4 separate regions of the Mus musculus genome follow, and regions 1, 2 and 4 are each reported to be linked to region 3. Evidence: microRNA targets listed by miRTarBase, many of them from high-throughput screens and not tested one by one. Region 3 holds a microRNA gene; each other region holds the end of a gene's coding sequence.

Region 1 (3,086 bases), not on the chromosome of region 3:
GAAAACTAAATGAGAGGCTAGTATCCTTTGGAATAGGGAAGGCCCTTTAAGAAACCCAGAGGCCATAAAAAGTCCAACAGATGATGTGTTGTTAAAGAGAGGAACTCCCTTCTTAGGCCCTGGCTGGCTGGGAACGCCACAGGCAGAGCAGGCTGCCCTCCAATTCAGATTGCCTCTACCCACCAAGTGCTAGGATTAGAGATGAGCACAACCACACCTGATGAGACTTAAAAGGTTTGACTATGAAAAACTTGAAAAATTAGCACAATACACACAAAGTAAGATATATACACCATTGTTTGAGTATGTGAATGCAGAGGCCAGAGATGACACTGGGTGTCATTCCTCTCAAGGCGGGTCGCTCACTGAAACTGGAGCTCCCCAGTTTGGCCCAACTGGCTGAGTGTTGGAATCCAGTGTTGCCTTGGCAGCACAGCAAGTAGTAGCGACTGAGCCATGGTGAACCTATTTTAGACCAAGGCAGCAGTGCTGGTGAGGCACACCTCTAAGTGACCTGCAGTATGTGGTGGAGCAGAGCTTAGGTTTGGTGGTCACTACCGGTTTTAGAGAGAACACTTCACACTTTCCTATAGGATGCAGGAAACTGTCGCTGTATAGAGAAATAATGGCAAAGACAAAGAGAAAAGTTGAATTTTTTTTTTTAAAAAAAGCACAAAACCCCTACATACTAAAATGATACACATCAAGTATTGATCCAATCTTACATCGACCTATTGACAATTACCAGCACCATGTTTTTTTCTCACCTAGGTTATTAACCTATTGACAATTTCCAGCACCTAGGTTTTTTTCTCACCATGCCTGGAGGATTGTTATTCAAAGTATATGTTCCTTTAAAATTTAAACAAACAAACAAACAAACAAAAACCAAAAGACCCCACAAATCTCTTAGGACAAACCCTCAAGAAACAAGACCTTTTAACAATCAGGTTATTCATGACACCATCAAATTTCCTTTAGAAAAATAATAGGTTTAACCACTTTTCCAACTGACGGACTTTGAGATACTGTTATTCAATATGACAAATGAACCAACCTTCTTGATGGTGGGAGGGAGATGCACTGGAATACCCTAGAGCCTCCACATGGAAATGTGGGCATCCTTGGTTGCTAAAGCTGTGTGTGCACTTCTGAATTTAGATCAGTCACCACCAAATCTAAATTAGATACAATCACAAACTAAATGATGAACAGAATTAGGGAAATGGTTAAAGTTCTCAGAAATGTAAGTTATAATTATAGATATATTTAAACAGGCTATAAGAAATTTAATACTTAAAAATTACATTTTAAACTGCTTAGAGGTTTCATTCTGCCACTAAAATTATGAATGGCATTTTATATCCGAATAGGAGGTTTGGTATTTCCTGACTGAGAAAAGCACAGACCCTTCTTTCATCTACTGTTCACATCTCACAAACTTTCAGAGACAGTGTGGTCACATGATAGTCCCCTTCTCAGGGAACCAACTTTTTTTTTTAAGACACAGTCTCACTAAGTAGCTCTGGCTGGCCTAGAACTAGCTGTGTATTCCAGGCTGGTCTCAAATTCTGAGATCTGCCTCTTTCTACCTCTCAAGGCCCAGGATTAAAGGCAGGTACAACATGCCTGGCAAAAACAGCTTTTAAAAGGCTCCAGATTAAATATAACCCTTGGCAGCTTTCTCCAGAGAAGGTGAGCCTGATTTACTATGTTCAGTCCCTTAGCCCAGTGTGCAGATGGAGGTTAATTCACCTTTGTTGGGAAGGTGTGGGAGGAACCCTGCCACCACAGTGACTGGAGTCAGAGTTAAGTGAAAGCACTCCAGTCTGAGCCAGGCGCTACCATCTGTTCCCACCAATGCAGTTTAAATGACACTAGTTAGCTATCACACACGAACATTTTGAATTGGAATTTTCTCCAAGGCTTAGAATAGGCACAGTTTTCCCAGGAACAGGCAGAGAGGGTTTTACTCACATTCCCTGCAGGCAGGAAGGAGAAGATTGCTTTTCATTCTGGACTGGAAGCAGCTATACTCCATTTCTGTCTTGCCTGGCCCAGGAATATATAGGCGGGGCCAGGAAGCTACAGAAATGGTCACGCAGAGCATCAGGGTCAGCAAAGACATCACATAGTAGCTAGCTGTCAAGCCTGGGTCCACAGATATGTTAAGATTACTATGAAGCAAGACTAGAAACTTCTCAACTGAGAATACAAGCTCTAACTACTTACTAACGTGCTGCTCAGGGCGCCAGAGGGTGCCCGCTGCCAGCATGACGGCCACAGGACTGAGTGCATGTCAACAGGGAGCAGAACTTGGTGGGAGGGGAAGGAACACTGACAACTCCCAGTCTCACTGCCTCCTGGTGGGTAGGACTACAAACCCAGAAGAGAAGCAAAACTCTATGCTCTTTTAGGTTCCACTTTAAAAGAAAAAAAAGATTAGGTTTTGTAACTGTTATTGATGGTTCTGGAAAAAAAAAAATTTGACATGTATGTCATAAAAATTCTGTGTCCAAAAGGTGCTTGGTGCTGTTTTTGATGGGTCTGGTGTCTGTTTACATTCGAGATCATTTAAATACAGCCATTACACAGTTGATAAATGTTTTAAAATAAATGGTTATCTATTTCTTAACTGTCTTTCAAATTAGAAATTGTAATTATAAGAGTATCAGAGGCTGGCTCTGTGTGTTTTATTATTTTTGTTGGTCTCCATCACAGATGGAATTTTTCACTGGTAATTCCTCAGAACTAAATCCATTCATAGGGAATTCAGAGCAGTGAAAATAAATTTCACGCCTTAAGAGTAAGAAATGGTAACAATAAAAAGGAGCCACGGGATCTTGGAAGAAGGCAAGTCCAGCTCAGTTCTCCACTGGTGTTGGGGTTTGCACAGGCTGGCTCACTATAACCTGCACCACATAGTCCTTGGGGATCTTCAGCTCCTCCAGCTTCATCTTATCCGTGAGAGGCCTGCCAGAGAAGAACCAGCGCTGGCTGCCTGGCTCCACGCCCTCTGTGGCGTGTAAGCGCCTCTTCATGTGAAACACTGTGTCTGTGCTGCGGACCACGAGCCTGAGGTCTTT
Region 2 (3,086 bases), not on the chromosome of region 3:
GAGAGTGGTTTGTTTTTTGTTTTTGTTTCTGTTTTAAGCCAGGCAAGTTTGGGAGAGAGAAGCTTCAGTTGACAGCTTCAGAAACGAAGGGAAGGGCCTGGTATAGAACAAGCCTGCAAGTTAACCAAGACAGATCATCTAGAGGGGAAATAAGAAAAGGAGCCTTGGGAAACCGACTCTCCCCGCAACGAAGTTCACAAGATTATGTTCCTGCCATGTGTGCACTTATCTTCCTTCAGCCGTCTGAAGTTTGGTCCAAACCAGACTGTGTGCATTTACCGCGGAGACCTCACGTGTAGCGTTTATGTGATCAGAATTAAATAATTACAACTGGCATTCCCCAGGAGCAGAGGCTGCCTGTGGGTCGGGACACATATGGGTTGGTTTTTATTGTGTAAACGCCTCCCATTGTATTAACAGGCAGCGGCTGCAAAATCCTATATGCCAAAGAGCTGGAGAGATGGCTCAGCTGTGAAACAACACCCTGTTCTTCTAGAGGACAGTAATTCCGATCCTAAAACTCACATGGTGACTTACAACCATCTGTAAAACACCAGTCCCAGGGGATCCGACGCCCTCTTCTGCTCCCATCTCTCCACTACAACGAAGTGTACAGATACAACATGCAATCAAAACACCAAACATGTTAAAAACAAACAAACAAAAAACAGACTGATGGCATGGAAGAATTCTATGTTCTGCATCACCCAGAGCCACCAGCTTAGCCCTGAAGGAGCCCTACAATTCTGGAGGCGTCCAGGCCGCCAGGCTGGCCTCACCTGGAAACGCAGGAGCTCCTTGTCCTGCTTGGTGCTTTGCGGGGAGGGGCATCCGAGTCACCGGGGTCCTGAGCCATCTCTGCAGCAGGACACAGCTCCTCACTCCCAGGCTCAGACTGCATCACCACCACACTGTTCCGGTCCTCCGGTGGTGGCTGCTGCTCCCACCCGGCCTGCCCTTCAGCCTGGACGTCGCCCTCCTCGCTTCGCGGCTGGGGGACCGCTTTCCTCACGGCCACCTCTCTCGGCTCCGGTTCCCGGGTCTCCGAGGATGCCGGGCTCCCCTCTCCCTTCCTGGGTGTCTGCCTGCCCCCGCAACCTCCAGCGAGGAGAGGCCACAGAAGTCACGGACGAGAACGGGGCGACGGTCTGCCAGGATCGCGGGGATCTCCCGGCGCCGGCGTGGCCACGGGGTTGACAGGAACCCGACCGGGCGTCGGGGCTGGCTCGGCACCCTGCAGGCTGCAGCGTGCGGCGCCCGAGTGAACACTGCACCGAGGCGTCGCGGCGCGGGTTCACCTGCACCGCAGCGTCACGGCTGCTGACCGACCGGGGACCCATCCGCGACAGCAGGGCCATGAGCTGTGCCCGCTGGTGGCGGTCGACGTACTCCGCGGCCATGAGCTGTCTGTAGCCGGGGAGGAAGGAGGGGGGCGCGGGTCGGCAGCCCCTGGCTCCGAACCTCCAGCCATCCCCGGCTTTGGTGGCCTGCGGATAAGGATGCGGGCAGGGGTGGAACGTGCTCGCCGGGAACATGGGTGCGTTCCGCGCCTCGCCCGCCCAGGCAGCCATCAGCGCAGCCCAGCTGCCCTCCACACTGCGTTAAATAGGCGACCGCGCACTGGTAGAAAAAGCCCTACCACCTGCTGTTGCCATACTGAGCGAACCCTTCCCCACACTGGTTAAGAGGCGACCCTCCTCGTGGATGCAGAAAAAGAGCTTTCCTTGCTAGCCACAGTAACAATTTGTAGGGGAACTAGATGAGATGAGAATTCAACCCCAGAATCATCACCGAGATTAGCCGAGCCAGGTGGGCCCCCATGTCTGTAGCTCCAGATGTCTGTCATGAAGAAGGCAAGGGAGGCCAGTGTGTCTGATTAGGGAGCAAAATAACAAATGTTAGGAGACTGCTCTGAACCTCTTAGCTTGTCTCAGATCACAGCTCCAGTCTACCAGAGCAGTGGGACAGTGTCCAGCCACAGGCCTTTCCGGAAGGAAAGCCTGTAGCCACAGCCCTTTCCCACGGATGAACAAAGGGGCCCATTTTCTCTCCCTGAGGTGAGGTCTACGCATTTTCCTAAGTAAATCATTCCTTCAGACGATAAATGGAGCTGAGATGCGTTTATACAAATACAGGAAACATATGGGGAAAATGCCTTTCACCCCTGGACAATGTTGATGGCCATTAACAATAGATACTAGATCAAGTAGTCACACACATTAATATGATTTTCTCTGGCTTGAGAGTGGTTTGACGATGCAATGCTATCCTGTCGTTTCACTGACCCGTTTTGGACTTTTCTCAATACAGGCTCGCCCTGAACAGAATCGGTTGTTTGTAAGTTGAGCAAACCCATGGTTCTGTTTTACAAACATTTACAAACATTTCCAACCCCATTTCCTATCTGTAGCGATGCTGGTGGAAATGGCAAAACAAACAAAAACCGGGAAAACAAAACAAAACAAAAAACAAACAAACAAACAGCACACTACTTAAGCAGAGGACCGGCACTTTAGCTGATCCAGGTGTAAGCAATACTGGGACTCTGTTGAGTTAGAAAAACACATGGGTAATACTGAGATACAACATTACAGTGGGAAGAGCAAATCTGTTACAGGAAATGTCAACCCATCTTTATCCCGGATGCGAACCATACTCGCTACCAATGGTCACAAATAGGAAGTGATGTTTCAGCTCCCGTGTATCTCCTCGGTCAGAGGGCGGTCTGGGTGGTCTCCATCATCACTAAGTCATCCGTCCCCACGGTGCCATAGGAGGTGTCTGCCATTTCCTCTTCTTTCAGTTTCTTATAAGAAATATCGGTGTCTTCGTCTTCGTCTAGGGCCTCTCGCTTGTGCAGTATCTCACTTCCGTACATTTTGTAGATCAACACGAAGACCCCTGCCTCGGCAGACTGGAAGAGGGCGTAGAGCAGAGGGAACATGTACATGCTACCTATAAAGCGAGGCGGGAAGGCCAGTTTGAGAATCGCAGTGCAGAGCTGCACGTTCTGACTTCCTGTTTCCAGACACACAGTCCGCTTGCAGTTGGGCGGGAGGTGGAAGAGGGTAGCTAAGCCATAACCC
Region 3 (3,086 bases):
GGTTACAATGAAAACTTGCTACAAAAAAAATGTTATCGAAAATTGTTATATTAAATGAGTTATACAAAAAAATCAATATGGGTGCCACATATTCATAGAGATTCCCACCTTCATCTTGCTCTCATCATTTTTCATTTGATATTTGAGCTTGTCCGTTTGGTTAGATCCAGGCGAACCTGGGAAGGGCAGAGTATATTCTTTAAAATTCTCAAAATCTGAAATGCAGGCTAGACATGTTTTTGCTCAAATCTGTCAATCAATTAAGAAGGAAGCGATGTGATAGAAACTAGATTTTTATGTACAGATTTGCCTTGGGAAATTGGATTATAGGATGATTCATTCAATAAACTCTCAAGTCTCAAAATAAGAAAATAAATAAACAAAAGCACTTGCCATCTGGCCAGACATCTGCTCACATACCATCAGCAAGGGGCTGATGCCCACATCGTGTTCCTGAACCTGACACCGGGTACAGAGAGCCCTTCAAGGAGGGATTTTGTGCTCAAAAAGAGGTCAGCGTTTAATATCTTCCACGAACAAACACCATGATGTGGACACTGTCCCTTGGGGCCTCTTGGAACAGCTGCGGCAATCCTGCCCAGGCTTCTCCTGTGAAAAAGACAGCTGGTGAGGTATTGTGCCCAGAGAATATTCTACCCTCAAAGATGGAAGGCTCCCTCTGGGCCTATACGTACCTGGGATGTAGGGGTGAATAGCAGCCCTTAGAAGCCTGCCAATAAAGCACAAAGCTAAATGTGAAATGGAACTGAACAAGTCCGGTTACCTTGGGATGACCACCAGAGGCATTTCTGTCCAGGTGTCCTTTGCATTCCTTGGATGAATCCAAGACAAACTCCCCTCCAGAAGTTTGTGGGCCTAGGGGCCTTGGGCTGGGTGGCAGGTGTCACAGATATAATGTATGGCGTGCTCACTGCTCCACCAGCACCGAGGCCAGTACCCACTAGATGGAAAGGGATTTTCAACCTAAGAAAATGGGTTGACCATGCTTGTTCCATGCCCCTTAGCCTTTCTCCATGGGTATAAAGGGAGAGTTGCTGCTTTTCCAAAGGTGTTTCCATCTTTTATAGGCAGAAGCCAAAACACAGGTACAGCCACAGCCCAAGGGCATCACTGAGCCAGTAGAAACTAAGAGCTAAGTGTGTGGCTAATCCTGGTACCTCTTAGATGGAGTTTGCACTGGGTTTTGATGCGCTATGGTTGTTGAGCCACGTAAGTATAAACAAAGCTTTTATTCCAACTTGAGCAAAGAAAGAAATAGCTAGTATCCTAGCAAAGGGTTGCCTAAGAGTGATCCCATATCTTGTACTGGCTCAGCTTCGGAAACCCTCCAGGGGAGATGGATGGATGAGGTGTTCTCATACTCTCTGGATTGTATCCTCCCTCCCACTCTCACAAGAGAGCCACCAAAGGGCCCTGCTCAAACAACCACACTCAAAGGCAATTTTGATGCCATGAGGAGGCTACCAGAGAATGTTAGCCATAAAGAGAAGTTCACTAGGGAAAAGGGGTCTGAAGTGCCGCCTTACATCTACCACTCCAGAGGGCAGGGGTACCAGTATCAGAGATAAGAGACAGGCAGCAGTGGCTGATGACAGCTTGCTGTTCCCTGGTCCCAATCGTAGCCAGCACCCACCAGTCCTCAAGGCCTTGCTAATGGCATCAAAGAGCACAGCCCGTAGACATGGCAGGATGCTGGTAAAGAGCTGATCTGGGGCCCAGGCTTTTCTAGAGTCATAGTGTTATGTGACACTCACCAACTGACATATCTTGGTAAAGACACCTGCAGCTGACATCTAGACACATGTCTCCAGAAGGAATTGGTGGTTTGGCTTGTATTGGCTGTTTGATTAAATTGCTATTGTTTGGATTTTATAATTTTCTGGGCTTCTCTTATCTGAACTCCATCCTACAACAGAGCCTAAAAGTGCGCTTCCTGGTTTCCCTTACTGACTGTGCCTGTCCCAGGAGGTGGGCATTCTGGACCTAACAATGCACAGAGCCAAGAGGGGCAGGTGAAATTGTGCTTCTTTGAGGTAAATGCCCCTGTGCACATGGTGACCCAAACCCCCTGGCCTCCCGTCCTCCCTCTGGTCCATGGGGAGCTCTCCAAGGTGAGATTTGATATCGAAAAAGAAGTGCACCATGTTTGTTTCGTCACAAATAAAAGCGAAAAATAACATGGGCAACTTCTTTTCAGGTACCACGGCTGAGCTCTTGCTTGTTCCAGCAGTGTGCCTGAGTGTGAAGGGATGCTGAGGGACAGGCGGAAGGAAGGGATGGTGGGTGAGGCAGATACTTGGCCGGGAGGGGGACAGGGATGGGGGTCCTGAGGCAAGGGGAGTGGCTCAGTACTCATCACTGCCATAGCAATCCAGCCCAAACCCCCTCTACCTCAGGATCTCAGGAAGACCTGGGACGAAGACTGAAGATTCTGAGATGTTGCCTACCATCCTTGCCAGTCATTCTGAAGTGTCACTCGGGGGAAATGGGATGGTGCCAAACTCCAAGACAGAATCTCCTCTCTCAGTTCCAGGATCCTCTTCTGAAGCTGAGAAAAAAAAAAAAAGTCAAAGAACTAGGTGGCAAAATCCAGGGCAGCCTAAACCAGCTGTGTGAGTGCCTGGATGATGCCCTCTGAGGTCCCCCCTCTCCCGCACCCAGAAGTGACTTACGATGTAGACAAATACAACAAAGAGCTCACAGGGTACTGGGAAGCAGAAGAACAGGTTGAAATGGGAGGCTCCAGGATTCTGAGCGTGTGAGATGTCTGGGGATGCAATGTCCGTTCATCATCTTGCGGCTGTCCTGAACGGGACATATGACCGACCCTTCCCTGAAAACAAAACGCATTGATTAGTGTGTGTTACCGTTACTGGAAGGTTACAACACTACAGCAATATATCTGAACCACAAAGGAAAGTGACTTGGTACCAACTACCTACCTTAGACTGGACAATGGGAATAATGAGCAAGAGAACATACCATCCAAAGAATGCCAGTTACACTCATTGACAGGCCACTCAACAAGGAGCCATCCATTCCTCTCATAGTAAGGAAAGGCCCAC
Region 4 (3,086 bases), not on the chromosome of region 3:
ATGATGATTGAAAGCACAAACCCTATACAAGTAGGAGGTCACATCCTCGCAGGGTTTGAAAGTGTGATCCCCCTGACGGCTGTAGAGAGGCAGGCTTTGTTTTTACTTGTATGCAGTCGTTTTAGCCAGTCTCTCGTCATGGCTGCATACTCCTGCCAGCTGTACCCAGAGAACAAAGAGTACCTCATGATTACAGCCAAAACCGGATGGAAGCATTTACAGCAGCTGTTCGACATGGGCCAGAAAGCCGTTGAAGAAATCTGGTTTGAAACTGCCAAGTCCTATGAATCTGAGATATCCATGTGACTGCCGCGGTAAAAAAATTAAATCGCTCAAAACTCCCCGGTGGTGCACATGCGCTCGGCGCTATGCACCCACAATGTTCTGGATTCCCGAGTGAAAGACACACACGCACAACCTTATTTTTAATATGCCCTAAGCAGGTCAATTGCCGGGCCACTCCCTAACTCCACTTGGTTAACGCACACTCCACTTCAATATTCCTGAGTTATTACTTACTAAAATCTATATATTATCTTTGTGCCCTGGACCTGGCTGGGCAGCCCTCCTGGGCAGCTTTCCCCCTGCACCTACATGTCGGCGGTCTTTCCCTTCTGTATCTTTCTGGCGTGGTCCTATGCCCCTCTTGTGGCAAAATCTTCTCTTCCTACTCTCTCTGTCTCTTCCCAGGAATCCTAAAAGTCCCACCTCTGTCTCTGCCCAGTCATTGGCCGCTGGTAATTTTATTGACAAGTCAAAAACTAACTGGGGACAGGCTTCCTTTAGTCCTAAATGTGGGACACTGCAAACAGGTATTTTTGGTAACATAATTAGCATGAGAACACAAGCCGTTACAAGTGACCTTAGAAAAGCTTGTGTTAATTAAAACCCAGTTGGCCTAGAACAAATTTATGAAGGATTTTTGTGCAGAGTTAAAACTGAAATGGTAAAACAGATCCATTCTCACAGGGCAGTGGTGGCGCACGCCTTTAATCCCAGCGCTTGAGAGGCAGAGGCAGGCGGATTTCTGAGTTCGAGGCCAGCCTGGTCTACAGAGTGAGTTCCAGGACAGCCAGGGCTATACAAAGAAACCGTGTCTCGAAAAACAAAACAAAAAAACAAAACAGAGCCATTCTAAATAGGAATTGGTGAAGGAAGATCTAATTTTTACAGCGATCTTTGGACCATCTTTTACTCTTAAGAAAGTCTACATGATGAACCCTTGCCTAGTATGCAAAGCCCGGGTTCAACCTCAGCACTACAGAAACAAGGAAATCCACACAAGTACCACCCAAGTAAGCATGTCTCTGTGCAGGTCATGCTTGCCTTTTACAAGAAACACACATGATGATACATGACTTGTCTTCAGTCTCCGAAGATCGATTCTCGTCCTTAGATCAATGATTTTTAAACTTTGAAAAGAATGCATATGTACAGCTATATTAATTTTGTTTGTTTGTTTGTTTGTTTTTGAGGCAGGGTTTCTTGGCTGCCCTGGAACTCTCAAATTCATAGAGATCCAATTGCCTCTGCCTCTCAAATGCTGGAATTAAAGGCATCTACCACCGCACACATATTCACATATTTTGAATAATCCACATATTTTAAATACCTAACCTATACATCGCTAACTCTATGAATTCTTCCTTAATCTCACCTGTCAAGAAGTGAGGTAGTGAGGTCTTTCTGTCTTTTTTTTTTTTGGCATTTTACTATTACCTGCATATTGTTGTACAGTCATCTATCTTGTAAGTTACCATGACACAGACCATGAGAAACTTAAATACATAGCTTACACATCACAAATTCTGTAGACTCTTAATCTCACCTCTCTAGAAGTGAGGCATTCTATCTTTTTTGTGGCATTTCACTCTTACCTGCTGATGGTTGTACAGTTATCTATCCTGTAAATTGACATGGCACAGCCATGAAAAACTTACATCTGGGTGTCTCTTCTTGTCCCTCTGATAGTGCCTTCCCCACAGAAAAGTCTTTGGACACATTTACAAAATGAATGCATGCAAGAAGAAAGATATGGTGAAGCCCTCGGGGAAAACACAAGAGGGAGTCCTGAGAAAAACTTGTTTGGGAGAGTAGCTGCAACCAGAACTCCAGACACAAGTGCATTGAAGCACATGTAGGCATCCAGGCAAGGCCATTATCCAGGACACCAGCAAGGCGCCTCAGCAGTTAGGGCTTACTATGCTCTTCAGGCTGGTCTTAAACATCGTGGCTCCCAAGATCCTCCTGTTCAGCCTCCCAATGCAGAGACTATAGTGATACACCATTCTGTTTGGCCCCACATGTTCTTTGTTCTCTATAACTAATGATTGCCTTTTTATAAGATTCTGTAAAAATGCAGATCATTGCATTGCATACTTGGCTTAAGTTTTATCTCAGTATTTCCTTTACTGGCTCCTTTTCATGTCTCTCTAGTCTAAGTGGCTATTTACTTATTCTTGTAGGGTGGGATTTTTTTTTTTTTCTTTTCTGTTTTGAGACTGGATTCCACTGTGTTGTCCATACTGGAATCAAGCTGTCGCATGGTTATCCTGGACTCACATGATAATCCTGCCCATGCAACCCAGTAGCTGGGACTGTAGGCATGCATAGACCACTCACTGCATTCTTTTGTTTAACCACATGCTTTCTAAAGATGACTCAGGTCTAGACCCCTAGTCATTTATTTAAACATCTTGTTAGTAGTTATCCGTCTATGTGAGTAGGCTTTGATACTATAACTCTTGTCTGATGTTTGCCTGCCTATCTACCTGTCTAAACTTCCCAAACTAGGTATTTCTCTGAATTTACTTATACAATTTATTTTTAACTTCTCCATGTCTCCCTTTTCTTTTCCTTTCTCGTTTCTTTTCTTTTCTTTTTTTAGAGCAAGATAATGTTTGTACTTAGAGAGTCAATTGTGAGGGTTTTTTAAGAGGCTATGGCAGCCTCTTAGCATAGACTCTGGCACATAGTAGAGGCATAATAAATAGTTACTAAATAATGGATCATATTTCAGGTTACGCACACTCAAAATATTGGTGTGGCACGCTGCTTGCCCTTCTCACAGTCAGCCATCGAGCCCT

Evidence for each region. The annotated mature microRNA mmu-miR-495-3p reads AAACAAACAUGGUGCACUUCUU and lies in region 3 at 2,152-2,173, opposite strand. An mRNA with a match to its seed (bases 2 to 7 or 8) in the 3' UTR can be bound and repressed. Matches are read on the target gene's strand: a 7mer-m8 pairs with bases 2 to 8, a 7mer-A1 pairs with bases 2 to 7 and ends in A, and an 8mer does both.
Region 1: miRTarBase lists Ubtd2 as a target of mmu-miR-495-3p. Seed matches in the 3' UTR shown: 7mer-m8 at 877-883, 7mer-m8 at 873-879, 7mer-m8 at 869-875 and 7mer-m8 at 865-871.
Region 2: miRTarBase lists Slc10a4 as a target of mmu-miR-495-3p. Seed matches in the 3' UTR shown: 7mer-m8 at 2,476-2,482, 7mer-m8 at 2,472-2,478, 7mer-m8 at 2,468-2,474 and 7mer-m8 at 2,432-2,438.
Region 4: the mRNA of Hykk is a reported target of mmu-miR-495-3p. Seed matches in the 3' UTR shown: 7mer-m8 at 1,451-1,457, 7mer-m8 at 1,455-1,461, 7mer-m8 at 1,459-1,465 and 7mer-m8 at 1,463-1,469.

Annotation. Positions count from the first base shown.
Region 1 is chr11:32,516,266-32,519,351 of GRCm38, reverse strand. It overlaps Ubtd2 (ubiquitin domain containing 2), which reads right to left. Exons shown (of 3, transcript NM_173784.4): 3 at 643-3,086. The coding sequence ends at 2,865. Among named protein-coding and RNA genes, the nearest start is that of Efcab9, 9.8 kb to the left of the region's middle.
Region 2 is chr5:73,011,975-73,015,060 of GRCm38, reverse strand. It overlaps Slc10a4 (solute carrier family 10 (sodium/bile acid cotransporter family), member 4), which reads right to left. Exons shown (of 3, transcript NM_173403.2): 3 at 2,106-3,086. The coding sequence ends at 2,714. It also overlaps the pseudogene Zar1-ps. Among named protein-coding and RNA genes, the nearest start is that of Slc10a4, 6.6 kb to the right of the region's middle.
Region 3 is chr12:109,717,882-109,720,967 of GRCm38, reverse strand. Mir495 (microRNA 495) reads right to left here and starts at 2,214; the gene lies at 2,152-2,214. It overlaps Mir667 (microRNA 667), which reads right to left and starts at 962; the gene lies at 871-962.
Region 4 is chr9:54,946,221-54,949,306 of GRCm38, forward strand. Hykk (hydroxylysine kinase 1) reads left to right here. Exons shown (of 5, transcript NM_177351.4): 5 at 1-3,086. The coding sequence ends at 306. Among named protein-coding and RNA genes, the nearest start is that of Psma4, 3.1 kb to the right of the region's middle.